4 linked regions of the Caenorhabditis elegans genome follow. The main gene of each other region encodes a partner of the protein of the gene in region 3 in a complex. Each region holds a gene or a part of one and is shown on either strand. Other genes may lie near its edges. The genes, in order: eif-3.G, eif-3.I, eif-3.C and eif-3.K.

Evidence for each region.
Region 1: eif-3.C (region 3) and eif-3.G share a complex: the UniProt entries of both Caenorhabditis elegans proteins name them as parts of the eukaryotic translation initiation factor 3 (eIF-3) complex.
Region 2: eif-3.C (region 3) and eif-3.I share a complex: the UniProt entries of both Caenorhabditis elegans proteins name them as parts of the eukaryotic translation initiation factor 3 (eIF-3) complex.
Region 4: eif-3.C (region 3) and eif-3.K share a complex: the UniProt entries of both Caenorhabditis elegans proteins name them as parts of the eukaryotic translation initiation factor 3 (eIF-3) complex.

What each region holds. Positions count from the first base shown.
Region 1 is NC_003280.10:8,439,412-8,445,694, forward strand, and holds eif-3.G (Eukaryotic translation initiation factor 3 subunit G), read left to right. Parts: upstream 1-3,355; 5' UTR 3,356-3,372; coding exon 3,373-3,389; intron 3,390-3,435; coding exon 3,436-3,488; intron 3,489-3,609; coding exon 3,610-3,689; intron 3,690-3,770; coding exon 3,771-4,153; intron 4,154-4,241; coding exon 4,242-4,497; 3' UTR 4,498-4,764; downstream 4,765-6,283. Other genes in the region: lips-10 (LIPaSe related), read left to right, coding at 1,125-1,305, 1,910-2,199, 2,398-2,590; evl-20 (ADP-ribosylation factor-like protein 2), read left to right, coding at 4,896-5,184, 5,235-5,365, 5,560-5,694; cut-3 (Cuticlin-3), read right to left, coding at 5,859-6,068, 6,114-6,283. UniProt on the Caenorhabditis elegans protein: RNA-binding component of the eukaryotic translation initiation factor 3 (eIF-3) complex, which is involved in protein synthesis of a specialized repertoire of mRNAs and, together with other initiation factors, stimulates binding of mRNA and methionyl-tRNAi to the 40S ribosome.
Region 2 is NC_003279.8:2,482,593-2,491,128, reverse strand, and holds eif-3.I (Eukaryotic translation initiation factor 3 subunit I), read right to left. Parts: upstream 5,269-8,536; 5' UTR 5,261-5,268; coding exon 5,125-5,260; intron 4,322-5,124; coding exon 3,888-4,321; intron 2,918-3,887; coding exon 2,563-2,917; intron 1,689-2,562; coding exon 1,630-1,688; 3' UTR 1,342-1,629; downstream 1-1,341. Other genes in the region: ddx-10 (ATP-dependent RNA helicase), read right to left, coding at 272-892, 939-1,145; Y74C10AR.2 (Conserved secreted protein), read right to left, coding at 7,477-7,926; abtm-1 (Iron-sulfur clusters transporter ABCB7, mitochondrial), read left to right, coding at 5,747-5,806, 5,854-5,931. UniProt on the Caenorhabditis elegans protein: Component of the eukaryotic translation initiation factor 3 (eIF-3) complex, which is involved in protein synthesis of a specialized repertoire of mRNAs and, together with other initiation factors, stimulates binding of mRNA and methionyl-tRNAi to the 40S ribosome.
Region 3 is NC_003279.8:9,974,183-9,982,277, forward strand, and holds eif-3.C (Eukaryotic translation initiation factor 3 subunit C), read right to left. Parts: upstream 5,481-8,095; 5' UTR 5,479-5,480; coding exon 5,378-5,478; intron 5,330-5,377; coding exon 5,096-5,329; intron 5,015-5,095; coding exon 4,129-5,014; intron 4,083-4,128; coding exon 2,965-4,082; intron 2,914-2,964; coding exon 2,556-2,913; 3' UTR 2,244-2,555; downstream 1-2,243. Other genes in the region: T23D8.3 (Protein LTV1 homolog), read right to left, coding at 1-331, 380-496, 1,150-1,590, 1,922-2,104; Beta-catenin homolog sys-1, read right to left, coding at 6,312-6,394, 6,447-6,951, 7,003-7,329, 7,561-7,786, 7,843-8,095. UniProt on the Caenorhabditis elegans protein: Component of the eukaryotic translation initiation factor 3 (eIF-3) complex, which is involved in protein synthesis of a specialized repertoire of mRNAs and, together with other initiation factors, stimulates binding of mRNA and methionyl-tRNAi to the 40S ribosome.
Region 4 is NC_003283.11:12,950,543-12,956,804, reverse strand, and holds eif-3.K (Eukaryotic translation initiation factor 3 subunit K), read right to left. Parts: upstream 2,804-6,262; coding exon 2,628-2,803; intron 2,581-2,627; coding exon 2,382-2,580; intron 2,203-2,381; coding exon 2,109-2,202; intron 2,057-2,108; coding exon 1,850-2,056; intron 1,741-1,849; coding exon 1,694-1,740; 3' UTR 1,576-1,693; downstream 1-1,575. Other genes in the region: mpst-7 (Rhodanese domain-containing protein), read left to right, coding at 1,363-1,518; pqn-68 (D-aminoacyl-tRNA deacylase), read right to left, coding at 3,617-3,808, 3,864-4,067, 4,111-4,167; T16G1.18 (uncharacterized protein), read right to left, coding at 4,782-4,868, 5,376-5,468; T16G1.9 (EIF3k), read left to right, coding at 6,149-6,239. UniProt on the Caenorhabditis elegans protein: Component of the eukaryotic translation initiation factor 3 (eIF-3) complex, which is involved in protein synthesis of a specialized repertoire of mRNAs and, together with other initiation factors, stimulates binding of mRNA and methionyl-tRNAi to the 40S ribosome.

The sequences.
Region 1 (6,283 bases), on a different chromosome or scaffold from region 3:
CCTTCATTTCCCATTGCTCTCCCTTGACGGTTCATATCTCAGTTTTCTCAAGCAAGATTATTCAAAAACTGTTCAACTATGAAACTAAAGAAAATTATTTGGCATATCATACTTTTCGTAATATTACTGTTCAAAATGTTTTGCTAAAACCAACGTAAACCGATATGAGAGAAGTCAAAGTTGAGCAAAATGGTATAGGAAAAACACTTTTCGTTCGATTCAATGAAATATTGCTAGAATTTATCCTAATTCAAAAAATTTACTCAATTTATTCCAAACAAAATTTTAAAATTTTAAAACATTTGTATAGTCTTTTGAATACAATTTTTTATCGTGCGCTCCTACAAAAGCTTTCAAGATACATTTTGTTTACGTAGAGTTTAATGTTTCAATTATCTTATTTTACGAACAATTTTGTGAAGCTTGGTGACTGCAATCGTGGTTAGACCTACGTAGAACTTACCTTGACAGCGAGGTCTCATGATTTTGCGAATTTACCGTTGACATTTTCAAAATTAAAAATTCATGAATTTACAATTGCAATTCGACAAATATATATTTCAATTTCTTTCAAAGAAGACTTTTTTGAATTTCGTATATTCCAAGACTGGAATTTAGGTGTGTAATAACTTGAAATAATTTGTCACAAAAACTAAGTCAACTAAAATATTAAACAGATAGATCTACGACATTTTGTTGCAACCTATTATCAGAACTAGACGAACAATGTTCTAGTGACCGGCTTCAGATAACCAATGATCTGATGTCAACCAGATCACACCTTTCAAATCAGAATGATGTCATGATTTTATTTTTTGAAAAAAACACGAAAAAAAACAGTTGTAGTGATCGAAAGATTGCTACACATAGATGACGAGAAAACCGTGCAGTGTCACTTGACCTCTATAAGTGTAGCCTCCAATTACATTTTGTTCTCACACTGAATCAGTCATGACTTGATGGTCAAGACGATTCCGACACAAATATGTATGGTGGTTTGTGTTCGTATCATTGTGTGTGACGTCACAAATCCCGATTTCTGATCGTATCCTGATCCGAAACAAACGCAAACAAGATGGAACAAGTATTTTCACACACCCGTTCATAAAAAGTGTTTCTTTTAGGGGTCTTCCAATTGTGGTAATTCACGGGTTGGCTGGATACGCTGGATTATCAAAGAAAAGTTTATTGAACAAATACTATTCGTATGGGCAACCAAAGGGAACTGTATTCGCAACAACATATGCAAGAGGAAAGCTGATGGACTCATTGCAACACGGAATGCAATGCGATTATGTGTTGAAGGTAGGTGTAAAGAAATGATGGGATTATATAATAGACATGAGAAATCATTTTGATTTGGGAATTTAATTTAGACTCTGAAAACTACAAGAGGAACACTTGCAAAAGCTAAGATCAAGTGTAGTGTAACTATTGTCATCATCACCAACATCATCATCATTAAATCTAATCTTTACAATGAGAAAACCTCGCCATATCATGTCTCCGTTCTGACGCGGCGCCACTGGTGTAGTGAATGTGTAGTTTGTGATGGTCACAGTTAGACTGGCCTTGTGGGGGAATTTCTATAACTTCTGGGTTTGATCTCGTCTGTTAATATAGATAAATAGAGAACAAAGGGATGATCGGTGATCTTTCAAGACCCGATTGATAACGGCCGGAGTGACGTTGAAACGGAAAAAGGACGTGACCCGAAAAAAGAAGGGATTGTTTACAAACTACACAAAACACAGATTTATAATGACTGGTTGGGTAGACATCTTTCGGAAGGGATCCGGATTGAGAAGGATATTCTAAAAGAAAAGATGAAGGGGAATCTATAGGTGAAATAGGGATTACAATCAACGAAAGGAATATTGCAATCCAAACTGTAACTCTAAAATTTCAGGTTCGCACTCTCATTCTTGCTGTTCATGAATACACTCAGAAACCAGTAAACATCATTGCTTGCTCCATGGGATCTCCAATTACCAGAAAAGCTATTCTTGGAGGACACTGTGTTGATAGTGGAGTCAATTTGGGACGCCCAATTAATCATCTAATTCATAATTATGTTTCTGTTGGTGGAGCAAATCACGGAGCTATTATGTGCGCCAAGCAGCCATTTGTGAATGGAATCTGTAGTTTAACACATGGTTTGGATTGCCGTTCCAAGTTCTTACAAGAGATCAACTCACAGTAAGTTTCGCAAAAAAAGTATCCCAGCACAGGGAATTGAACTCATGCAGGTGTGCGTGAAAGGCAAAACTTTTAGCCACTAAGCCAGCAAGGCTTTTCATTTTTTGGGTATACTAGGGCATACTTAAATTTAATTACGTTGTTTTCTGTACACATAAACATTAATTTCATGATTTTACAAGTCAACATTTTTTTCAGGCCGTTCCAATACGGAAAGAACATGTTCGCCATTTATTCCGTAGCTGACGAAGTTATTGGACTCAGAAATACGTGTGGAGAGATGTCCTCACCATTAGAAGGAGCCACTTCAATCGTCAAAACTAGACTAATGCATGGAGCAGTTATTGGTGGAACTACAGAAGATCAATGGAGGGCTCTTCAAACCTCATAAAAACAAAATCTCACCAAAAATACTAATTGACATCAAATTTCACTTGTGATCTCTTTAATTTCCTTGTTTATATTGATTCGAACTCGTTGCTTTCATTCAAAACTTTGTGTGTATATTGTTCAAAAGTTTAATAAATCAGTACAATCGTTGATTAAATTGGTATTTTGAACGAAAATGATCAGAATGTTAAATTCGTCCAAGTGATCAAGTCCATCAGGCGACTTGTAAGAATTCTCATAAGAATAGAGATAGGAAACTGCTATATTTCGCAGATCAATCTAGACACATGATACAATGTTGTGATTTTCTCCGAAAACGAAGATATTTATTATTTTCTTCAGAAATCTCTTCCGATGAGACTGAATAATCTGTGAAAACCGGAGCGGCGGCGCCATTTGGCTTTTGGGCAATACGGTGCGCAATTCTGCAAACACATGATCCCACGCGCAAATGCACAGATTTCCCAATGCGTCGTTGTTTCCCAAATTTTCGATTTTCGGGATATTTCTACATTTTTAAAAGATTTCCAGCCGTGTTTTTGTTGTAGAATATTTTTTTTACATATTTATAGTTTGTTTTTATAGATATTTGCTAAAAACTATGAATCTAGTTGAATATTCGCTTATTCTGGAAAAAAAAATCAAATACTTTAAAATCTACATGTTTTGAAGAGCTGTTTCTTTTTAATTCTGAAGTTTGTTAAACCATTTATTTGAAATTTTTTCTTATTTTATATTGCTAAAAACATAATCAATAGTTTTTCAGGTAGTAAAGTTACAGCTATGACTGGCATTAACGCGTGAGTTTTCACCCTCGAATAATTATTTACGTAAAGAAAGTTTCAGAATGGCTCCCGCTCCAGAAGTTGTAAGCTGGGCTGAGGCCGTTGAGCAAGACAGTAAGTTTTTCATTTCTCGTCTTCAAGAATATTTACGTGAACTTTCACGGTTTTCGCATTTGGAGTGCAACCGCCTAACAAAACGAGTCATTTCTGTATGAACTGATGAACGCTTTTGCAGACGCCCCACACATCCAGGAAGGAGCTGATGGAACACGTACCGAAACAGCTTTCACTGAGGTTGATGGAGTAAGATGGAAGGTTTGTTATCCGATGGCCAAAAAATTCGCCTTACAGAATTCTCGAGTTATGCTCTAGAATTCTTTCAATTCCAAATTTCAGGTTGTGACACAGTTCAAAGTTATCAACAAACGTGTACCAAAAGTCGTCGCTGATCGCAAAAAATGGGTGAAATTCGGAAGTTGTAAGGGAGAGCCAGCAGGACCCCAAGTTGCCACAACTTACGTGGCTGAAGAAGTCGATATGCAATTCACAAGAAATCGCGCAGGAGAGCAGATTCTTGACGTTCAAGAAGACAAACAGACTGCTAAAACTACAAGCCGTGAGCATTGCCGTCATTGCAAAGGAAACGACCATTGGAGTACTCATTGTCCTTACAAGGTCATGTACCAATTGGACGAGGAAGCTGATGCTGACAAGGATACTGAAAAGGATAGAATGGCAATGGGAATGCGTCCTGATGGAAGACAAATCGATAGAAATCGGTAAGCATTCAAAATACTGTAATCTAAGTTGCCCAAAAAATCTTGATGATTGAATAATTTATGAACTATTTTTAAAACATACTTTCAGATCCGATGAGAATACATGCCGTGTCACCAATCTTCCGCAAGAGATGAACGAAGACGAACTTCGTGATTTGTTCGGAAAGATTGGAAGAGTCATCCGAATCTTCATTGCCCGTGACAAAGTCACTGGTCTCCCGAAAGGATTCGCCTTCGTTACATTTGAATCAAGAGATGACGCCGCCCGTGCAATTGCAGAACTCAATGATATCCGAATGTACCATATGGTTCTCAAAGTCGAATGGACACGTCCGAGCAACTAATCCGTTTTCTGATTTATTTATGTTATGCGTACTTGGATGTTTTCCCGCTGTTTGGTTCTTCATAATTTCGTAGCTAGTGTCTGTCTAAACTGAAAATTACTGTAGACCAATTCGATGTTTGTTGTTCTTTCCTATTGAAATCATAATTTTTACTTTCTATGGTTATCAGAGTTGGCAAGTGAAGTTTATTTTCACGAAGGCAGTTCTAGCTATGAAAATTGTTGGTATTTCCTTTTCTTTCTTCAATGATAAATCTATCTCTTCCTGGTTATTTTTTCGTTCTATTTTTCCAATCGAGTTGGGTTTCTGTCCAATGTAAAATATCATAGTTTGAATAAAAATCTGATGGCTAAAAATTTTCAAACGCAATAGAACATTTTATAACTCAAAAATTCCAGATGGGCTTCTTGAAGATTCTCCGTAAGCAACGTGCTCGGGAACGCGAGATGAGAATATTAATTCTTGGATTAGACAACGCTGGAAAGACTACTTTAATGAAAAAATTCCTCGACGAGCCGACTGATACAATTGAACCAACATTAGGATTTGATATCAAAACCGTGCATTTCAAAGATTTTCAACTAAACTTATGGGATGTTGGCGGACAGAAAAGTCTAAGATCTTATTGGAAGAATTATTTCGAATCCACAGATGCTTTAATTTGGGTGGTAGATTCGTCAGATAGAGGTAGAAACAAATATTTAGGATACATTCAAATTTATAAAAACTTTTTTCAGAGCGTCTTCTACAATGCTCCGAAGAACTCAAAAAATTGCTCGGAGAAGAACGATTAGCCGGTGCTTCTCTTCTAGTTCTTGCCAACAAAAGTGATCTGCCAGGGGCCATTGATGTGAATTCAATAGCACAGGTAATTCAGATGTCTTCAGTATATACTTCCGAAAAGAAATGCTTTCTTGTAAGCCTTAACATGTAGATATTTATATTAGATTCATTATTCACATGTTACTCTCGTAACATACATTTTGAAAATGAAGAAAATCTTTAAAGAGGCACGGAAACATAGGAACCTTGAAACTACTCAACCTATTAAGAATTTTCTAGGTACTCGATCTCCATTCCATCAAATCCCATCACTGGAAGATCTTTAGTTGCTGTGCACTTTCTGGTGATCGACTGGTCCAAGCAATGACATGGTTATGCGATGATGTTGGAAGTCGATTATTCATACTTGATTAAAATTGTTATCAATCAAACTGCTTTGATCTCATTTCACACTGCTTGTAAATATATAAAAATTATAGATTTTAATTTATTTTTCATTGAAAAACAAAATAATAAGGGCTTCAATAAATTATATAAGAAAATTGCACACCGAGATTTCGGTTGACATGGTTGGAGATTTAACAAGCTGATTGCATCTTGTCGGATGGCACCATCATACGGGATACGATCATATAAGTGATGAAAATAGCCACGAAAACGGTAAGACCAAGGAAGACAGTGACAACGGAGATATGGAAAGAGCTGATACACAATTCTTGTCGGAATGAATCTTCTCCGATTTCTCTCGAAGCTACGAGAGCTTGAGCTTGTGTGAGAGAAGATGGGAGCTGAAAACAATGAATGAGCAAATGAACACCATTTTGACAACTTACATTTCCTTCCAAAACTTCCAAAGTTGTGAGCTCAGCACGGACATCAAGAATATTCTCCATTACTGGAGCGGATCTCTTCTTCAAAACTCTGAAGAACTGAGCAGTTTGGTTAGCTTGCTTAACTGCTCCAAATCCTTGTGGCTCAGAGCACGTTGGGCGAGCACACTCCT
Region 2 (8,536 bases), 7.5 Mb from region 3:
AGAAGTTTTTTGGACGAATTTCATGCAAATTTTTGAAAATTGAGAGTTATTTTCCAAGAAAATTGAGTTTTAAGGCACGGAAAAATTAGTTTCTGGATTTTTTTTAGTGTTAAAATTTGAGAATAAATTTTTAAGCAAAAATTGAGATTTTGGGAAATTAATCGAATTCTTAGACGTGGAAAACGTGTTTAAATTGCCGATTTTTCCGTGTTCCTATTCAATTAATGAACCATTCCGGAATTATTTCAATTTTCCGGGCGAAATCCCTCACATTTGTGCAAACTCTGCACAAATCCTTGACATTTCGTGTCTGAGTAGCCGAAAAGAGCAGCGTCTGACGTTCCGCGGGCAAATTATTAATGATCGAGTTGAGCTGCTTCGAGAATCCCATATCAAGCATTCGATCCGCCTCGTCGAGCACCAAAACTTGAAGCGAATCACAGCTCATTTGAGCATTCTCATCCATGTGTTGTAGGAGACGTCCCGGTGTGCAAACGATGATATTAATCCCGCTGATGCGATTTCTCTCGAATGCCACGTCACTTCCGCCGATAACCAAGCCACACGAGAATCCGTGATGGGCTCCGACGGCGTTAATTGTGCTAAATGTCTGAAGAGCCAGCTCTCGTGTCGGTGAAATGATTAGCGCTCCGAGACCATAGTCTGGAGACCATTTTGCTCGCCAAAGAGCCTCCAGCACGGGGATCACCAGTGCCAGAGTCTTTCCGCTGCCGGTTTTTGCGGCTCCGACGACATCTGAGCCGGTCAGAGAGTAGGCAATCGTGTCCCGTTGGATTTCTGTGGGTTTTGTGTAGTCATTATCCTTGAGACCCTCCAGTGTCCTCCAGGAGAGCGGGAAATCCTCGAAGCGGAGAAATGTGCGGGAGCTTTTCTGGAAAAATCGATTTTTTAATAAAAAAACTATTTTTTAGAGCTACCTTGAGCATTTCCTGATATTTCTGCTCAACTTCGTCGAGCATTGTCTCCTCCTGTCCCTTTAAATCCTGTTTTCTCTTTTTCAGAAGCCGCTTCTCCTTCAACGCTTTTCTGACACTTGGATCCTGCTCGCCATCGAAATTTCGTTTTCTTTTATTATTTCCAGCCCATTTCTGTGCTCCGCCGCCTTTTCCGTTTGTGTGAGGCATTGAAAACGCTGAAAATTGGGTAAAAATATTTAAAAATTGCAGGAAAAATCGTGCGCGGCAGTTGCGAAAAAAGCGTGCCAGGGTTGCATTCTGACTCCGCCCACAATTTTTCTTAATTTTTAATTGAGAAAAAATTAATTTTTTTTAAAAATATAATAATTGGAGATTAAAACCAAGAAATTCGAGGGAATAGATCAATTTTAACTCAAAATAATATTTATTTATGAAAAAAAAAACAATTAAAAGCCACCGAAAATTGATCTTAAATATGGAAAAAATGGAAAAAACAGAAAATCACCACCGCGTAATTTTAGAATTTGATAAATTTTAAAGGTTTTCCGAACTGCATAGGCTTAAATTCGTCATTTAAACTCTAAAATTAGGCGGTTTTCAACAGGAACGAGTAGGAAAAAGGGGGAAACGGTCTTTTTTTGGCAAATACGATCGCCCGGGAAACAGGAAGAAAACGAAAACGTAGAACAAATTAAAAATCGTAGGTGAAGCCGAGGTAGTCCTCGTCGAACTCTTGAATTCTGATGTAACCTGGAAAAAAATCAATAATTTTTGAATTTTTATATGAAAAATCCTCAAATCGCACTGCAACTTTTTTTTGAACGAGGGACGAGGAAATGCGGTTTCTAGGCCATGGCCGAGGATCCGACAAGATTTATCGGCAATTTATCTTGCAATGTTTTCCGCGAGTTTTCTTTTATTTTTCACCGATTTTTCCCCCGTTTTTTTCTTATTAAAACTGATAAATAAATTTTTTTAAAACCAGATGCTAAAATAATTTCCAAGTGAAAAAAATTGTGAATTCAGCCGGCAAGTAGCGGTGAAAGTGGTCAATGTAATATGATGGATTACGGGAATACTAAACACTAAACTTTTTTCGAAACATGATACATATGCTGCTTAGAGGCTGAAACTACCTGATTTTAATAACGAGACCGCTGAAAAAGTTTTTTGAGATTTTCAAAATTCAACATTTTGTGGAAAAATCTCGACTTTTTCGCCAAAAAGGTTGAATTTTGAAAATCTCAAAACTTTTTCAGCGGTCTCGTTATTAAAATCAGGTAGTTTCAGCATCTAAGCAGCATTTATAGCATGTTTTGGAAGAAAGTTTAGGTTTAGTATTCCCGTAATCCATCATATTACATTGACCACTTCCACCGCTACTTGCCGGCTGAATTCACAATTTTTTCACTTGAAAATTATTTTAGCATCTGCAAAAACAATATTTCTTCATCAGTTTTAATAAGAAAAAACGGGGGAAACATCGGTGAAAAATAAAAGAAAAAACGCGGAAAACAAAGCAAGATAAATTGCTGATAAATCTTGTCGGATCCTCGGTCATGGCCTAGAAACCGCATTTCCTCGTCCCTCGTTCAAAAAAAAAGTTGCAGTGGAATCCCCATACCGTCTTCTCCTCCAGTCGCGATAATTGTGCCCGATGGATGCCAGGCCATCGTGTTAATCGGTCCGAAATGTCCCTTGAATCTGGCGAATTCCTCTTCGAACACCATATGATAGATCTTGGCTTCAAAGTGTCCAGCAGAGACAGACGTCTGTGTGACCTGCATCGCGTCTTCTCCTCCTCCAAGGCAAATGTGATCGCGATTCGGTGAGATGCATGCCGAGTTGACGGGACGCTCGGATTTGTATTGTTTCAGCTTTTTCAGATCGTTCACGTCGAGCAGGGCGGCCGTCTTGTCGCGTGAAGCGGAGATCAGGAAATCGCCGCGTGGTGATAGTTGGAGATCTTGGACGCTGTACTGAAATTTTGGGAAATTTTTTTTTTGAAATTATTTTAGAAATCACGGAGGCACCACGGATTAAAGATCTCGTCGAATTCCGGATCTGGCACCGTGCCAACTGCAGTTTTCGCAGTTTTCTCGAAGAAAAATGTGGTTTTTTTTTAAATTTTCTTCAGGAAAAACGCTAAACAACACGCGATGCGTAACATCGGAGCATCGTTGTCAGGATTTTTTCCAGAAAAATTGCGTTAATTTTTTTTGAGTTGGTACGGTGCCAGATCCGGAATTCCACAAGATCTTGAATTTCGTGGAGCCTCGGTCTTATAATCATTGGAGCGCGCTTGCTGACACCTCACGAACTCCCGAATTCGCGGAATTTTGTTTCCACGGGAAATAAGGTTTTTTTGCTAATTTTGGTTTCTATGGAAATTAATATAAATTTTTGATGGATATTGTTGTTGGGAAGCTTTATACGACTCGAAAACGCGTAAAATTTAAGGTTTTACATCAAAAATCGGGAGTTTTTTGATTTCAGAATTTTAAAATATACATTTTTTGTAGAGAAAAATACAGTTTTAATTGATTTAATTGGTTTTTTCATTGAAAAAAATTAGAATAATCAAAATAATCAATCACTGCCGGATTTTGCTGCTTTTTCTCTTCAAAATGAGATTTTCACGGCTTTCAAATCGAAAAAACTGCCGATTTTGTTCCATTTTTCGAGAAAACTAAATTATTTCTTCGAATTTTTGGTTTTAATCTTGTGTGCGGAGTCAGGATGCAACCCTGGCACGCCTTCTTCGCAACTGTGCCGCGCACGGTTTTTTAATGCGAAATTTCGCCAATTTTCCAAATTGTACACACTTTCGGCTCTAATAATGTTTCCCCACAACAATAAAAACCAAAAATTAGCAATAAAATTTCCGCCAATTCAGGAGATCGTAAAGTGTCAGCAAGCGCTCCAGAGAACAACGAAAAAATGACGAACACGATGAACACTCTCGTTAGTGTGAATTGGTGTATCCGGATTTCTCAAATCGTACTGCTGAAGGAGTCCAGACTCGAATCCGATCGTCACGAGGTCATCCATCTGAGTGAAAAGTGCGGTCGTGGCGTTCACATCGAATTGTGAGTAGAAGAATGACTCTCCACCCTCAACCATTTGACTTGAATCACGAAGATCTCGGACTTGGAACGTCGAGAGATTCTTTGTCATCTTTTGTGTGGTGAAGCACACCAAATTTCCTGAATACGAGAATCCGCACGACTTCATCGGAGTCTGATGGTTGATTGTGTAGAGGCAGTTGCCGAGCTCGGCATCCCAAATCTTCACGGTGAGGTCTCCGGACGCGGTGACACACTTGGTAGTGTCCCATGAGACGTCGATATCCCACACGGCTCCGTTATGCCCGTCGTAGCTACCTGAAAAGAAAAATAATAAATAAATATATTTAAAAGGTGGAGTAGCGTCAGTGGGAAAATTGCTTTAAAACATGCATATGGTACCACAGTGACCGAATATCATGATTAAAAATTTCAAAAAAATTTTCTAAATTTTATATGATTTTTTGAAAAATTGAAAAAAATCTCAGTTTTTGCCTAATTCCAATTTTAATTACCGCCAATTGGATTTGTTCGATGGAGCGCGCTTGCACGTTTTAAAATTTATTTATTTTATTTTTTGTTATTTTCCAACGATTTTTAATGTTTTCGATGTATTTTTGCTTGAATTTTAGAGAAAAAGTCAAAATAATTGCAAATTTTCGATTAAAAAGCACGCTTAGAGGCGTAAAAAATGAAAAGTAACGCTTTTAAACGATTTCGAACCTGAATTAATAAATTTCACTGATTTACGCCTGTAAGCGTGCTTTTTAATTGAAAATTTGCAATTCTTTTGACTTTTTCTCTAAAATTCAAGCAAAAATACACCGAAAACATTAAAAATCGGTGGAAAATAACAATAAATAAAATAAATAAATTTAAAAACGTGCAAGCGCGCTCCATCGAACAAATCCAATTGGCGGTAATTAAAATTGAAATTAGGCAAAAACTGAGATTTTTTCAATTTTCAAAAAATCATATAAAATTTAGAAAATTTTTTTGAAATTTTTAATCATGATATTCGGTCATTGTGGTACCATATGCATGTTTTAAAGCAATTTTCCCACTAGCGCTACTCCACCTTTAATTCTGCGAAAATTTTTCGCGAAAATATTCAAAAATACCGATTCTCTCTCCATTTTCAGTATACCAAACGCATGGCTTCTTGTCCTTAGCACAGGAGAACGTCAAATCTCCCTCACGATTGAAACGGACCCGAGTGAGAGCACGTTCGTGGCCTTTCAGCGAAAGTGGACGCATTTCTGAAAGAAATCCCCTATTTTTGAAGGTTTCTGCGAGAAATTGGTGGAATATTCGGCAGTTTTGATTATAAAATGAATTATTGGCTTAATTATTAATAAATTCCATTAAAAAAATGAAAATTAGAAGCCAGAAAACATGGGAAATATTCGAAAAATAAGCGAAAAAACAACAAGAAATAGGATTTGGCTCAACCTCCGCAATTTGGCGTGACAGTGTTTGCGGACTTGCGTACCGTACCCCCGCGCAGAATAATCGACATCAGCTGACGAAATTTCGATTTTCAGCAATTTTCAGCAATTTCGAGTGGTTTTCAGTAGTTTTCAACAATTAAAAAGTGAATTTTATCAAATTTTTAGCAATATATTAATTAAAAACTCAAATTTTAACATGTTCCACCACAAATAACTGCTAAATTTCGCAACTCTCAATTCTCATCGATTTTTTTGCGAAAGCTTCACCGAATCCAGTTTTCAGAGATCGATAATGTTACAATTACGACTAATAGCTGGCCTACGGAACGCGTCAAACACTATCAGATCGCAGGTATCGTTAAAAAACCCGAGAATTTCCGGTAAAATATTGATTTTCAGGCAGTTTACCGCAGTTTCTCGTCACTGACAAAATCACCAGCACTCATCAGAAATGCCACACAGATTCTTAGTAAAAATGTGGGGTTTTGCGATAATTTGTTGAAAAAAACGTTTTAAAATCCTTAAAAAACATTTTATAGAAATTTCCATGAATTTTTAGGTTAAAAATATGTATTTTCACATTTTTTAAAGCTAATTCCAGAAATTTTTGCCTCGAAAAAGTTAATTTTTAGCCAATTAGAGCGAAAAATAAGCTTGTGGTCTCGAAGCGAAAACTACAGTCTCTAAAGTTAGAATTAAATTTTGCTATGCGCCTTTAAAGCTTTTACGGTAGCTGAGATATCGATTTTTCTCTTTTATAAATTAATTTTTTTCTGAATTTTCTTCAAAAAATTCCATTTTAGGCCTAATATATATCGAAATTTTCACTTTTTCTGCTCAAAAAATATATAATTTCTAAAAAAAAAAGCAGTTTATTTTGAAAAAAAAAACAGAAATTTGTGAAAAAGTTGCTGGAAAGCACCACTGGAACGTGGGAATCTTTCCAGAACTGGAAAAATCTAGCATTTTTCTTAAGAAAAGTCCAGTTTTTCGGGGAAAATTGGATTTTTTCACCTTAAAATCATTTTAAAAAAATGCTTAAAAATCAACAAATGGAATCTGCGAAAATTGGATTTTACCTCGAAAAATATGATTTTCAGTAGAATTTTAATGGAAAAATTGAATTTTCCGTTGAACTTCGTTCAAAGTAGCAACTTTCCGTGCTTAGAATCGTATTTTTAAGCAAAAATACGATGAAATAGCACGTTTTCCAGGAATTGTGTTGTCGCAAGCTTCAAACAATTCTCAAAAATCACAAATTTGAGATGAAGCTCGGAAGCTCCAAAGGAACTTGGAAAGTTGCATTTTTCATCCGAAAAACCCAGTTTTTTGGTGTAAAATTAGGTTTTTACACCCTAAAATCATGAAAAAATGCTCAAAAATCAACTTTATTAGCTCAAAAAGCACCAAAAACGTGTCCCAAATTCGAAAAAAGACATTAAAAAATCAATTAATTCTTCTTCTGAGCTTCTGATCCGAACTCAAAACTGAGTTCTCCTTCGTTATTCTGCTTACATTTCACATTTTGTCCATTATCAAGTTGTCCACTGGCATTCAACTCTAACAGCTCATCGGAGCAAACGAAACCTGCGGTTTACCTCGAAAAATATGAATTTCAGTGGAATTTTAATGGAAAAATTGAATTTTCCGTTGAATTTTGGTCAAAATAGCGATTTTTCGAGCAAAAAATCGTATTTTTAAGCTAAAATACGATGAAATAGCACGTTTTTCAGAAATTGTGCAGTTTTGTTCAATCGGAAGCTTTAAATAATTCTCAAAAATCACAAATTTGAGATGAAGCTCAACTGCTTAAGCTAAGGCTTAGGCTTAGGCTTTTCTACTCCACGGGAACATGAGAATACCTCCACAAGTGGAACAATTTTGCGTTTTTTCCCAGTTTTTTTTGGTGAAAATTCGATTTTTCTACCTTAAAATCATGAAAAAATGCTTAAAAATCAACTTTATTAGCTCAAAAAGCTCAAAAACGTGTCCCAAATTCGAAAAAAGACATTAAAAAATCAATTAATTCTTCTTCTGAGCTTCTGATCCGAATTCAAAACTGAATTCTCCTTCGTTATTCTGCTTACATTTCACATTTTGTCTATTATCAAGTTGTCCGCTGGCATTCAACTCCAACAGCTCAAGCCCCGCCTTCTTATTGAGCACACAACCAATCGGAGCAAACGAGATGTATCCATTGCTCATCTCACATTTATATCTGAATCCGACGGCATTATTCTTGTACATTCGATCGATTGTCTCCTCGTTCTTCACGAATTGCGATTTCTCGTCCTGTTCCCAACTGGCAAAGCATCCGGCTGTCTCGTATTTGCTCACACATGCCTCGTAGTAACTTCCCTTGCCGATTCGGCGCCGGTTTCCGAGATCACAGTCGTCACCGACTTTTAGGGACAAAACTGTGCTCGACGCCATGAGTACGATGGCGGTGAAGAGGGCCAGTGTTGAGCTCATTTTCTGGAGAAAATTCAGAGTTTGCGGAGCTTGAAAACCTGGATTTACGGGGAAAAAGTCGATGAGAAACCGGAATTGCTGTGATTTTTTCGAAATTTTGGAGCTAAAAATCACTTTTTTCGGCAAAAAATGTTTGAAAATGGGAGTGTTTTTGATCTTACTAGGCCTAGGTTTAGGCTGAGGCTTTGGCTTAGGATTAGGCTTAGGTTAAGGATCAGCCTCAGGCTTAGGATTAGGCTAGATTTAGGCTTAGGCTCAGGCTTAAACTTAGGTTTAGGCAAAGGCTTAGGCTTAATCTTTCGATTAGGATTAGGCTTAGCTTTAGGCTTAGGCGTAGGCTTAGGCTTAGGCCTCCAGACAGGATTTTTAAAATTTTTAAATTACCTAAAACCCCCGAAAATCTACAGTTTTTGTAAATTTTCGGGGAAAAAATGAGAGAAAAAATGACGAAAATTGGCAATATTTTCAAAAAATCCAGCTAAAAATTATATTTCTGCCTTTCAAACTAGCTTTTAGCATTTTTTATATCAAATTTTCTGATTTTTGGGCAGAAAAAAACTTTTTTAAACCGAAAAATTCAAATTTTTAGAATTTTTCCAGTGAATAAAAA
Region 3 (8,095 bases):
TTGGTCGGAAAGTAGAAACAGTTGAAAAAACGCTTTCCTTATCATCATCATCCTCCATATCCTCATCATCATCTTCATCTTCTTCAGCAATATCCATCTCTTCAACAGCTTTATCGAATCGTTTCAATGCCTTTCTGGATAAACCACGTGGCTCCTTGATGAGTGTCGGATGATTGTAGATATTAGTGTATTGAGTAGCAAATGATTCACAATCCCATTTCATTTTCTTATTTGTACCCTCATCCACTTCCACAATCTCGTATTCTTCTTTGTCTTTGATGACTCCCTCTTCAATGAGACGCATTCGTTCACGTACATAATGCTTGGCGAGCTGTAAAATTAAATGATGAATGAAAATAATTCTTTTGAAAAGTACTACCTCTTCATCATACTCTGCATTTGAAGGTCCTTTGTCATTTATAAGTTTGTGAAGTCGTCCAGCGTTCGGTTCAAGTGCTCCTCCAACATCATAGTCGTCACCATCAAGCTCTCCGATCTGAAAATTAATTCATTTTTTAAAACTGGGTCAGATTAAATCTCAAAAATAATAAATAAAAGTAGAATGTTTTCTGGTAACACATAATTTTCTTGAAGTTTATTTTTCATAAAAATGAGTTTATTTAGAGGAAACCGAAAGATTGAAAAATTTTTTGAGAAAACTAAAAAATGTATGTTTCATTAAATCAAGTCTTGTTTATGTTGAAGATTATTTTATTCTAAAAAGAGGAAAACTTGCCAAAACTTAAAGAATTTTCCGAAAAAAAAACTAAAAAACGATAATTTTCGATTTTTTAATTTTTAAAAATTAAAAAATTTTCAATTTTCAATTTTCGATTTTACTGGAAATCTAAATTTTTTCGTTTTCTATGAAAAGCCGATAAGCGAAAAATTTGATTTTTTTAAAAGTTTTTTTTTGATTTTCCGGAAAACCAAAAAATCTAAGAACAATTTTTTAAAAAAAATCTAGTCAAAAAATCATTTTTTTTTAAATCAAGTCTTTCTTATGGTAAAGAGAAAAAATTAAAAACATATCCTTTCATTCTAAAGAGAGGAAAAATGGCGAAAATTTATGGCATTTTTCGAAAACTGTTCGATTTTTAAATAAGTTTAATTATCATATTTTTCAAGCCAATAATTCTGAAATAATACCTGATCGGTGTTGTATTCACGATCCATGAGTTCTTCAAAAGCATTATCAATAACTCTTTGATCAGCTCTTTCAACTCTAATCTCTCCAACAGCCTCTTCTCCAAATAACTCGTCATCATTATAATCATCATACATCTCATCGTCTTCATCGTCATCCTCTTCTTCTTCCGAATCTTCACCTCGTCTTGTACTTCTATAAACTGTAGTTCTTTCATCAAGAAGACCACCAGCAAGTGTGATAAAATTATCTTCAAGTTCTCCGGTGTTACGATCATCTGTCACCTCTTCCAACGCATTTGCAACATCTTCGTCAAAAAATTCCGGTTTCTTAAGAGCACCGACAAGTCCGAAAAGTGGTGGAGCTGGTGGGAATGCTGATGAACCACTCGTTTTGATGGTCGTTTTCTCGACTTCTTCATGAACATTTTCCAGCTTCATCGGCTGAAAATTTAAATGATTATTTTACCAATACAAGAAGATTGTTTTTCGATTATGTTCTAAAAGAGGTGATCGAAAAATTGTTTTTTTTTTGATTTTCCGTAATATGGAAAACTTTTTTTTAATCATCCATAAAATTCAATTTTATGAAATAATGTAAAAAATGCTGATTAAAAAAACATAGAAATTTTTTACTTAAAAGAAGTACAAAGACCAAAATTTTAAGCTATTTTTTGACATATCCTAAAATCTTTTGATTTCATTGAAAAATCGAAAAACAAACACTTTTTTTTAAGTTTCGGTATTTGATCAAATTGATTTTAAGATGACAAACCTCATTAACAGCTCGCATGTGCTGCAAATAATCATAATCATCGTCGTAGTAGACTCCATACTTTTGCTGTTCCTCCAAATGTTCTTGAGTTGGCTTGAATCGTTCACTTCTTTCCCTATTATCCGGAACCAATCGAAAACTTTGACTGGCTTTCTTATCAATGAATGCCTTCCTTTTACCCATTTTGAGGCGAAATTTATGTTTCCAGTAACCTGAAATATGAATTCTATGTTAATTTTTTGTTACTTTTATTGTTGGATCTGAGAAAATAACTGATTGGACAGAACCGGGGCTCATAAAAAATTACTTAAAATTGGACGAATCAAATTAAATATTTCATTAAAATAATATCCGGCAACCCAATATAAATAATTAGCAAAAACAAAACAGTATGGAAAGAGTATAACTTAAACACTACTAACCGGAAACGAAAAATGAGAGCTTTAAAGTTCAGATCTCACACTGAACAAGGAAAAGTGGGAAAGGGTGGGGGATTACCAAAAAAACTGATCAATTAAATAAAAGATTCAACAAGTATTGGCGCCTGCAAAAAGTTTTTGAGACTAATTGCAGGCGCCATGAAAGGCGTATTAGCGGGTTCCACGAATGGGAGAGACGATTGAAAAATGGATATTTAGAAGGCTCGTGGCTTTTGAGGATGACGACGTTGCTGACCACCTTGAGATCCCCAATTTCCTCGCTTTCCGTCTTGTCCTTGTCCTCCACGTCGTTCTCCTTGGTATCCACCAGATCCTTTCTGCTTATCTCCTTGCCGCTCGTTCCTTCCTGGAAACCACGATCCTGGACCTTGATAACCACCACGTCCAGTGCGCGGCTCCAGAATTTGTTCATTGTTTTCGGCAAGAGTTTGAAGTTTGTCAGACAAGTTGAGAGCAAGCATTTGAAGTCTGGAAGGTTCAACACGGTGCATGATGAGACAGTCGGTGGGCTCGTCAAGTGTAGCCGAAAGTTCCTCTTGGATGATCATTTTACTGAAAAAATAAAAAAAAATTATGTACTGTCTAGTAAAATATTACAAATACCTGATGATGCTATGAACATCTTTCTTTGAAAGTTCGAACAAATCCGCAAGCTTCTTGAGCGAAACAGTGGCATAAACTGTAGAGTATGTGAGCAAATAAGTTCTGAGAGATTCCTCTTGAATACGTCTCACAACCATTCCCTTAACAGTCTCAGCGTTATGGAAAAGATTCCAGACCTTCTGGTTCATCTTGTCATTGACGATATAGTCTTGACACTTTTTCCAATCTCCATTCAACATTGCTTTCGATGCGGCGACAACATGTTCACGGGTATTCTCTGGTGGTCCAGTGAGAGAAGCTTTCTCGCTTTGCTTCAATTGGTAATGGAAACTTCTGCTGAGCATACGACGACGCATTTCGAATTCGCAACTAGCCATGTGTGGAATTTCGAGAAGCATCGAACAGATCAGATAGACACACTCCATAAGTTCAACATTGATGTGCATATGATATGGAACTTGACGGGAACGATCAATCTTCTCTTGTTCAGCAGTCTTTTCGTGCTGACGAGTTCCAACAGCTTGAGCAAGCAACTCCTTGGCACGTTGGGTATTTTGAATTTCAGATAGTCCTTGATGAGCTTCGCGAATGAAACCGTGTCGGAAAGCGCAGAGACCGAGTTGGCAGATAGTTCTGTTGTAGAGGATTTGAGTGTCGACATCAGAATGATCAACGATAGCTTGCATGTGACTCATAAGAAGAAGATCTCTGGCGCGGTGCCACTTGTCATGAACAGCCAGATAGTAAACATGGCAGAGCATAGCACGTTGTCTCAATCGTTTCTCATCATCAAGTGTATAGATCTTATTACACAAGTAATCCATCAACTTTCCAGCATCCTCCTCATTTTGATCTTGATATTTGTAGTAGGCATGCTCGATGCGCATCATGTACACTTTGCAAACTTCGTGTTTATCGAAAATGCCAGAATCGTTACGAAGTTCAACGTACTTCTCGGCCTTTTCAATGAGTGAGCACATATCCTTCTCGGCCTTCAACTTCTCGATATAATCATTGGAATGACAATCGGCGTTTTGAAGAATTTTAGCCAACTCTCCGTCCAATCTTTGCACAGCAATCAGAATACTTCCTTGAATGCGATACTCTTGAGTGTCATCCTGCAAATATTAGGATTTTTATTAATTTTAGGAATGCAAGTATTACCTTCAGATTTTCATCTTCTTCAGCATATGTCACAGATAACTTTACACGATCAGTTCCGATGAGAAGATCGAGCAAGCTGTTGACGGTTTGCAGAGTGGTCATGAATGTTTCGTACTCCATGTGATCACTAATTTTAGCGTTCAATTCGAAAAGAGCCGAGATTATGCAGAAACTGATTTTAACGTTGATTCCTAGACCAAGTTCTTTCTCTTCCGATACCTCCAAAAGTTTTCGAAGATTAGCAACATGTTGATTACGATCTGTCGTTCGTTTTCCACGAGCCGACATAACCTCATTGAGTTTCTTAATCATAACGTCATGAGTAACTTCTTCCTTGGGATCAAAGTGAACAACAGACTTCTCACGATTAACTGGAGTCCAATCCGCATCATCGTCTTCCTCGACAGCTTCTTTGACTCTGATAACTCTCTTCTTCTTTTCTTTCTTGTCATCTTTGCTCTCCACGCGGAATTCTTTTTTCAAGAAATACCTACGAAGTTGCTCCATCTTAGTCACACTGTCTTCGTCATCAGAAGAATTGGATTCTGGTTCAGAAGACCAGTTAGAGGAGTCGTCATCGTCGCTGTCACTGTCACTATCGCTCACTGCAGCTTTCTCAGATGGTTTTCCAGGTGACTTTTCAGCCTTCGATTCAGAAACCTCTCCAAAATCATCGTCGTCTTCATCTTCTGGAGTTTCATATCCATCCTCGTCAGGATTAACGCGATAATCGGTAACAAGATCTTGCAGTTGTTGATCCTTGATGTATTTTTTCAGTTTTTGACGAAGAGGTGGAAGAGCTTTTGCGTTGTTCTTCGAAAGAGCAGATTTAGCATCTTTATCATCCCATAATTTATTTACGTAGTCTTCGATTTCCACAAGAGACCTGAAATATTTTATATCAACTACTAAGTTTTCATTAGCATTTTATTTTATGATGTGACTGTAAATTAAAAATATATCTCACCTTATGTAAAATCTTGGATTTGCGACATTCTGACGTTGAAAGACCGTCTTGGACTTATCATAAGCTTTGGCCAGAGAATCAAAACCTGTTAGAAGTCTGTTCAGATCTTTGTTGCTCTTTGCATCTCGATTTTGCTTGATAATTCCTTTCAGCTCATCGAATTTTTTGTCCTTTTGGGCACGAACAACACGCTTCTCATCTTCTTCAGGACCGGCCATGAAATCGAGATCATCGCTGAAAGATTAATCAATCTTTTGGAATTACTTTGGAGATTATAATTACCGAAATTTCGCGCTTTTGTTCACTTTTTGATCCTCTACCTCATCCTCGCTGGACGAAGTGTCGGAATCAGAGTCCTCCTTAGCATGGAAGAAGCGAGACATTGCTGAAACAAAATTGACATTATGAAATCCCAAAACAAGAAGCAAACAAGCAGTAGATACACAATTAGACAGAAATTCCAATATTATTTAAAATTTAAAATGAATAAAACGATTTTCCCTTTGAAAACAATTCAAAAAACAGCTAATGGGTCAATATTTAGCTGAAATAAATTTAAGTGGAAGTGGAACATAAGAAAATCGTTGCAAGACCTTACTGGCGCGTTTCGCGTGCACGGGAGATGCGTCAGCACTCGCCACTTGCGCCAGTGGGCATTTGCGCGGAGATTTAAATAATAATTTATTATTTAATCACAATTCCACAATTTCAGGTTAATTTTACAGAACGAGAATAGTCTCTAAATAACTTATATATGAACCGAGTATTCAGTAAATCAATCCAACATTTAAAAAGTTTTATAATTTTATTTTCTATTCAACGTAAGAACATCGAAGAAAGACGTATATAAGACAGGAATTTGATAGTTAAAATGCAAAGATAATCGCGAAAATGTTTTGTATTCAAAAATATTATGCTACAGACGTAAACAAAGAAACAACAAAAAGAAAGAGATAAACCGAGGGCAAAATGAGAAGAAATGTGCTATAAATTAGGAAAATCGGAACGTTTTGTTTGTTCTAAACTCGAATTCATATGAAATCGTCAAGAATGAGGAAATTTGGGACCGGTAGAAAATGAAGAAAAGAAGAGAGAACATATTTTAATCAATAATACGACTATGTACACGCTAAAACAGCTTCCAACTAGACGAATTAATGGCTTTGAACGGGGATTTTTGGGATGAAAGATGGAGTTGACAGATTTATCCATTAAATCAGAAATATTCTCGATTTGAAAAAATACCAGCAAGAAGGTCGTTTTCAGGGAAGCGACTCAGCAGAGAATTCGCGGCTTTAGCTGAAAAAATGCATTGTAATTTAATTTATGAACACATTTTCGAGACACATACCTATATCTGAATTTCTATGATTCGTCAGTCCTTCCAACATCGGCCTGTCAATCGTCCAAATATCCGCACGCGTCGGGCAGTGCTCCAAAATCTTGTCACATACAACAAGCACATTGTGAATAAACGTTGGTTTCACTTGATTTCCGTTCAGCAGATTTAATGGGCAATCAATTGAATACGAGTACTGTGCCACCTCTTTTTCAGCTCCACATTGCTCCATGAGCACAAGCAATAAACTTATGGTACGTTCAACAAGTTGCTGCTTTGTGGATTGAGTTCTTGTATTGTTCGGTTGACGAAAAACCCATGAATAGGCGGCACAAATGTGTCCTATTAAATTTTCCTTCCGATTTTCATCAATAACATTCAGAACACCGTCTTTTGGAACAAATGGTGTTCGGAGTAACAGTATAAAAGATCGGAGAATTGTACTTCGAAGTTCCAATAAACCAGGTGTATCCATTCCTTCACATGATAAACAACTCATCAGTTTTTTCAGAATATCCTGAAATAATTTAATTCATTTTTATATCGTTTTTCAAATTCCAAAACGTACAATTTCGATGAATTTGCAGACCTGCTGCTTTTCATTCGGTCCAGCCGTTTTCGTTTCTCCATTGGGCGTTGGAATCCACATCATCAGGAAATTGTTCAATGTACGCAGACAATTGCAAATAATTTCACAAACTCGATTTCTTTTCGGAGCATCGGTAAGTTCATCTAGTCGTGGATACTTTGAGATTATCGTGTGAAGTAGGAAAATTGCATTGGATCGTATAGCAATATCTTTTACGTGTTGTTTATGAGCCACTACGTTACTCAGAAATCCTGTTCCACTATAGATAACTTCATCATCCGGATGAATTTCGATGAGTCTCAGTAACTGAAAATTTCCGGTTTTAAACAGTTTATTTGAAGGGAGAGAAGTTTTTTTTTAATTTGAATAGACTAAAACTAGCCTGAAACGACCGAATTTAATAATGAAACTTCTTACAAAAGTGAAGTATCACTATGGAATTAGATAGGTTTGGGGCATCTAGTATAATTTTTTAAAGTAAAAGAACACATAAATAATTTTCTAATAGTCCAGTGATTTTCTAAACGTAAAACTTACGAATGGTAATATATTCTCCAATGGAGTCTTCGCCAAGGCTTTTGCATCAGAGACCTGAAGTAAGAGCTTACATCCAGCTCTTATCAAATCATTGTTTGGATACTGTACTACAGTAGTAATTGCTCCAACTCCATCAGACCGTACGAATCCATCAATTGCATCGGAATCATGAAGGAGAAGACCCAGAAGATCAAATGTTCGGATTATAACTTGGATAAGATGAGCTCTGGAAAATTAATATAACTTGTTAGTGATGGAGGAATTTTTCATTTTTAAACTTACAATTCTGGATTTTGAGGTAATGTTTCAGGATTTTGGCCTGCAATCAATCGATACGATCCGATCATTACAGCATTCAATTTTATAATTAATCCTGTTGGCGGAGGAGGTTGATCATGTGGATTATTGTTCCATATGAAGTAATCTTTCAATCGAGTATCCTTGCTAATAATAAATCGAAAAATGATGAAAATTGCTGGATTTATCATTCCCGGGTGTACTTGAGGATTAAAGTACTCGGAGAGAGTGCCAACGA
Region 4 (6,262 bases), on a different chromosome or scaffold from region 3:
ACTACTGGATGTAAGCATGGGAATTTTGTATGCACGGGAGAAAATGTATGTATGGGAATGTCAGCATGGGAACGAAAAAAATGGGAAAAATGAGTTGTAGGCATAGGAGTACTTCGACTACTGGATGTAAGCATCAGAATATTTTGTATGCACGGGAGAAAATGTATGTATGGGAATGTCAGCATGGGAACGAAAAAAAAGGGAAAAATGAGTTGTAGGCATAGGAGTACTTCGACTACTGGATGTAAGCATCAGAATATTTTGTATGCACGGGAGAAAATGTATGTATGGGAATGTCAGCATGGGAACGGAAAAAAAGGAGAAAAATTAATTGTAGGCATGGGAGTACTCGAACTACTGGGCGTAAGCATGGGAATTTTGTGTGCACGGGAGAAAGTGTCAGCATGGGAAATGTGTGCATGGGAAATGTGAGCATGGGATAGATTGCCTCGAAAAAACGGTAATTTGGCACGCGGCACTTCCCACACAAACACACCTCCCACGCACGCCAATAATTTTCAGATGTATGATTTTTATGTTAAATTTTAAGTTAAAGAAGTGAAGAAGCGTTTTTGATTGTTTTTGTAGCATATAAAAATTTTCTGTGTCGACACTGGCGCCTAGCAAGAACCTTTGAATTTTTCATGAATTCAACTTTGCGAAATTTACTCAGTTTTTTTGGTTTCGCAAGGCGTAACGACCCACAAAATTATCCGAGCTCAATTTTCTAAAAAAATTCTGGAAAGTCAGGTCAAAACGTCTCGAAAAATACTAAAATGAATTTTTCTGCATACTGCTACTCGCCGCTCACATCCATCTTTCTGGCGACTATGCCATTCAAGACTTAACCTACTGCCGCAGTCCATGACAGAAATACCGTGATAGAAATTATTTGGATTTTTGTTTTTAAAGAATCTCTAGACCAAGAGCATTCTTTGAACTATAAAACTTGTAAGACACTTGATGGATTCCTCGAGAAAAATGTAGAAAAACCGCAGAATGCCGACTTGCGTGCCATAAAGGTCGTGATCTCAAAAGTTCTGAAGGCCTGCAGCGATGCGGATGGGAACATTTTGAAAATTCAAAACGTTCATCTGGTCAGTATTTTATGGAGAACAAAACTTGTACAAATTGATGTAATAACTCTCTTCACTAGTAAAGTTATAGAGCTGCAAACGTGTTACCATACTTTTGGCCCACCCTGTAAACAAGATAATTTCATTGAAAAATGCAAAATTAAAGAAGTACCATAAACTTATTTGCGCGTCGAGACCAATCTGGATGAATCCATGCGTCTTCGAGAAGACATGCTAAAATCTTTTGAAATTATGATAATATTTCTCGCTAGATCATATTCTTCAGATTATATACTGTTCCACGTCACTTCGATCGGCAATGGTTTGGTGGGCTTTGACACGATCTGGTTACAATGGGAAGATCTATTTTGGCGGGTGGCCTGAATGGGTAGTCAGAGCACCTGACGGTTTGAGAGTCATCGGAGCAACGACGGAGACTTGACGCTAAAAGAAGATCCATGTTAAATATTATATGCATAAAATGCGGGTAAAAGTGAATATTGAATAAAGTTCATGAAAACATAAAGGAAATATAAATAGGAAAGGGAATAGAAACGGGGGAAAACCGAACAACAGAAACAAGGGTATTATAATTTGAATGACAGTGATAATTGATATTAAAGAGTCAACGGGGGTTGAATGCTGGTCAGAAGATCGGCGACATCTGAAAATGATAGATGCACTTGAGATTTTACTAGGCATTTTAAATTTGTTCTTCGATTATTAGGACATTTTTTAAATCGTTTGAAAAACCTAATACGCATAATACTCACGTGGGAATTGAATTTTCTCGTCGATATTTCTTGTTTTGATAGTTCCTTCGTGATTTGCAACAAAGAAAACATCTCCATTTTCCTTGGCTTCCCATCCGAATGATTGTGCCAGTGCGGTAACTTCCTTGTCACTGGCTCCGCCGAGAAGACGGCTCAACATTTTCTTTTCGATTTTTTGGAACGTAACACTGATGACGCGACAAGCATCTGAAAACTTGGTATTGAAATTGTCAAGCAATAAAAATAATATTTAACTGACAGTGCTTGACAGCATCCTCGAATCCGACCATTGGCTTGATCATTTTTGGGACTTCGCCAGGAACTTTGAAGGGTTCATTTGGGTTCGTTGTTGGCTGAAATTTTAAAAATTGATTAGTCGTACGCCGAAATTAAAGAATATTCCAAAAATAAATAGATTCAGCATTGAAATAAATACTGAGTTTCAGATGCACACAAAACAAGGTTTGATTTTGAAAAGCTCACTTGTTTCAATATTAGATAAATCTATTCTTTGAAAAGTGTAAAAACTCACTTTATACGCCCCCTTCACCAATTTCCAGAAAACAGCGAAGTTGCAAGATTCGAGCACAGCTCCAAGATCAAAGATTCTGCGAAGTTCTTGAGATCCGAGTCTGTTGGTGTCGATGAGACACTTGGCGAGAGCGAAATCACTCGATGGCAAAACCATCAACGTCTTGAGCAAAACTTGTCGAACAACAGCCTCGTCGTACCTGTGAAAAATTCTCTTTGAAATTTATTAATCTTCTTGAATACTTACTTCTCCGGGTTAAGCTGGTAGAGCTTGAGAATGGTCAAAACGATATCTTTATCGTACTTGTTTTCATTGACCATAGCTTGAACGCAGGCAGCCAAGTCGGCAACATTTTCCGGATTGTATCGGTTTACTCCTTCGATAGCTTCGTGCAATTCCTTTTGCAGTTTCTCGAACGACATCTTAAAAACAAATTATAGCAATTGAAGAAAAGAAACTCTGCGAGAAATAATAAGTAGAGTGAAACTCCTGAACAGACTCGATGAAGTCCTGCGCAAAGTGAAAAAAATCTTGCATAAAGTTGCGCACATCTTTTGTCAAATCGATTAAAATTACGCTAAGTTTCTCCATTAATTAGAAAAAAAGCTACAGAACACATCAAAACTGATAGAAAAATATTTAAGAGAAAGAAAAAAAATTTTCTCAATCAAAATAACAATAGTTTTAAAGGCGCATCGAATAAATCTGAAGGCATATCCTGCACAGATCTTCCTCGATTTTAGAGGCACTCCCCATTTGGGTTAAGAGATTTCAGTGAACTCGATTTGCTATCAGACAAACTGAAATGGAGACGTTTTTCCAAGTTTTTTTTTCAGTTTTTAATGAGATTTACATTAGAAATAAGAAAAAACTATTGTTAGAGGAAAACTCAGCGTATGGGTTTCGCCACGCTGATATCGGGTTACTGTAACTGGTGTCAAATTAAGGGCCACATTTGCCTCATAATTTTCAAATTAAAGGAAAAATTTCTGTTACGATTTATATAATCAAAATTTAATGCAAAATCCATAAATCGACAAAAGTTACAGTAAGTCGTCGTCTGCGTGGTGAGACCAATGTGCGTAAGATATTGAAAACTCGCATTTAAGGTATACGTAATATGAGGTTTTGCCAGAGAATATAAATATATGAAAATAATTAAGATATGATGACGGAATCAAACCGCTGTATGAACAAAATTGTACAAAATTCAACAGTAGTAAAACAAATTTTTATTATTTTTCTTTACTATCAAAAGTAACTGTAACAGGTCCGTCATTTACAATATCGACGCTCATCATTGCTGCAAATTTGCCGTCCTGAATCTTATCAGCTTTGTAAGCTTTTTTCATGGCTTCAAGAAAAGAAGCATAAAATTTTGAAGCTTCTGTTGGGGCCATTGCGGTATGAAAGTCCAGTTTATTTCCCTAAAAAACGAAATAATATGAATAGTTTTGTTTAAGTATATTAGACAAAACTCACTTTAAACTGACCGTAAAGGGTGAACTGACTGACAGACAGCACTTCTAAATCGAGATCCATAACTGATTTATCCCATGGTTTTTGTTCCGAAGCAGGGAAAACTCGTAGATTCAAAATTTTCCTAATGATATACTTCATATCCTCTTCCGTGTCATCTCGATGAACTCCGACAAGCACACACAGACCTCTTCCAATGGAACCTACCTGATTATGATATTTTAAACAATAACGGTTAATATATTCTTACCACTTCATCACCTACGGTGACTGCAGCTCGAGTAACTCGTTGAAGAACTACCTTCATTTCTGAAAAAAATTGAAACAACTAATGTTAAAAATACAAAAAAAAACAGATGAAAACTATTGAAATGTTCTCTTGAAAACCCTAAAAATAAATGAAAAATGTTTGCTAAACAGAGCGCGCTAACGACACTCCACCGTATTACTAGTCCTCAAAGGCTCGGCCAGCGCGACGTGGAATCTGTACACGGTCTCCTTCACAAGAAATGTACCAACTCTCTCGCGGTTTGCTTGCTGGCCACCTTGCCGTTGTTTTCAACAGGAGTTCTTAAATTTGAGCAGAAATCGATGATACGGTAGACTGTAGCAGCTATAGCCTTGATTGTAGAAAGTGGATGCACTTCATAGATTTTGAGCATATATAACTCTGTTCATGTTTGAGATAGAGACTAATGATAAACTGACAAAATGAGCATTACAAAAAGACAGACATTTCTTAAGTTGAGAGTTTTTTGATATCTCTTCTCAATAAAAAGATACGACCATAACTTGATGGCTGTGGTTTTACATGCCACCCTTAATTAAAACCTTACAATCTCCGTTATCTTTAAAGATACAACAATTTTATTAACCAAATATTATGACAAGCAGATTTAAAACAATTTTTACTAACAAGAACTACATTTCTATATACAAAAAATTATGGGGATTTTGACATTTCCAAGTTGGCCATCTTAAACCGGCTATACCACTAAGTCCTGAAACCTGAAATTGATATTTCAATTGGGAACTTATTTTATATGAGATATCTAACAATTTTGTGAATACTTTCTTCTAACTTTTAAAAAAAGTATTTCATGAACTGTTATTTGACTTTCTAATCAATGTAGCTTTTGGGGACATGCAACTAGTCTGTCTTACAGGTTAGAAAAATATTGTCAACTAAAGAAATATTAATCATTTCAAACTGAACATTTTGTTATGTAGTTATCAGCTCTTCAGTAAAGAGGGTACTGTAGTAGCCAGCGTAATCTTTGGACCGAAATTTCTCTCTTTTAACTCAACTAATAAGTTTTTCCATTAGCCGCTTTTCACTTTAAGCCAACTTTTTTTAAATTCAAAAAACCTTCAAAAATCGACAATGTAGTACTGAGTTAACTTAGTACTACATTGTCGACTGGAGTTGATATTTATCCTTTAAATTACTCTTTTGTATACAGACATTTTTATATGTCTTATACTTCAAAAGGTTCAACAAAAATGTCTACATACTAGAGCCGGACGGTAGATCAATATGTGCAAAATAAATGAGATCAGATGTAGGAGTGAGAGACGCAGAGACCGTATGTTTCTCTGCCGTCTCATCTTGTGGAGGAGGCCCACAACATGTCAAATGCTACGTGGCCGTGAATATTAGTTAAACCATAGGCCGGGAACACTGCAATTGGTGGTCACTTACCAGCCAAATTAACCCACTTCTCAACCAACTTTTTTCAATTTTTTCCAATTTTTGCCAACTTTTGGTAACTCTTTCCAGTTGTTTGTTGCAAATTCCCAAAGATTTTTGTTTCGGTAACGTGTTTATGAATATTTGTTCTATAATACTGAAAACATTTTTATACAATTCTTATTGAAATTTTTCTTGAAACAAGTTTGGAAAGTTAACGTAGGTTTTGAAATACGATTGATATCTTCGTACTTTTTTGAGAAACTGAAACAAAATTCAAAGATTTTTATTGAATAGTTTTTGTGAAATCACAGTTTGAAATATATCTTAAATTCCCCCGAATATAATAATTTCCATTATGGAAAAAATCAATTTCACGTTTATTTTTTTTTGAAAGGTCAAATTCCGCTGCTGTCGTGTTTGTTGCGATCTTCGTGGATTTTGTCTGCTTCTCCAGATTTTTGTATGCTAAATCGTTTTGTATTACCAATCATTGTGTTGCTGTGATTTTTACGACGATTCGAACGTGTTAGTCGATCATCTTTTAACCCTGTATTTAACACGAATTCGACCTCAAAAAATCTATAATTTCAGCGACATGGGTGAAAAAGAAGAAGCCGCTCCGGTACTTTTGCAGTGCCTTGAGAGCGGCCGAGTGGACGTGATTTGCTCAATCTTGTCACAAATGAGTAAGTTTCAATAAAAGTATACT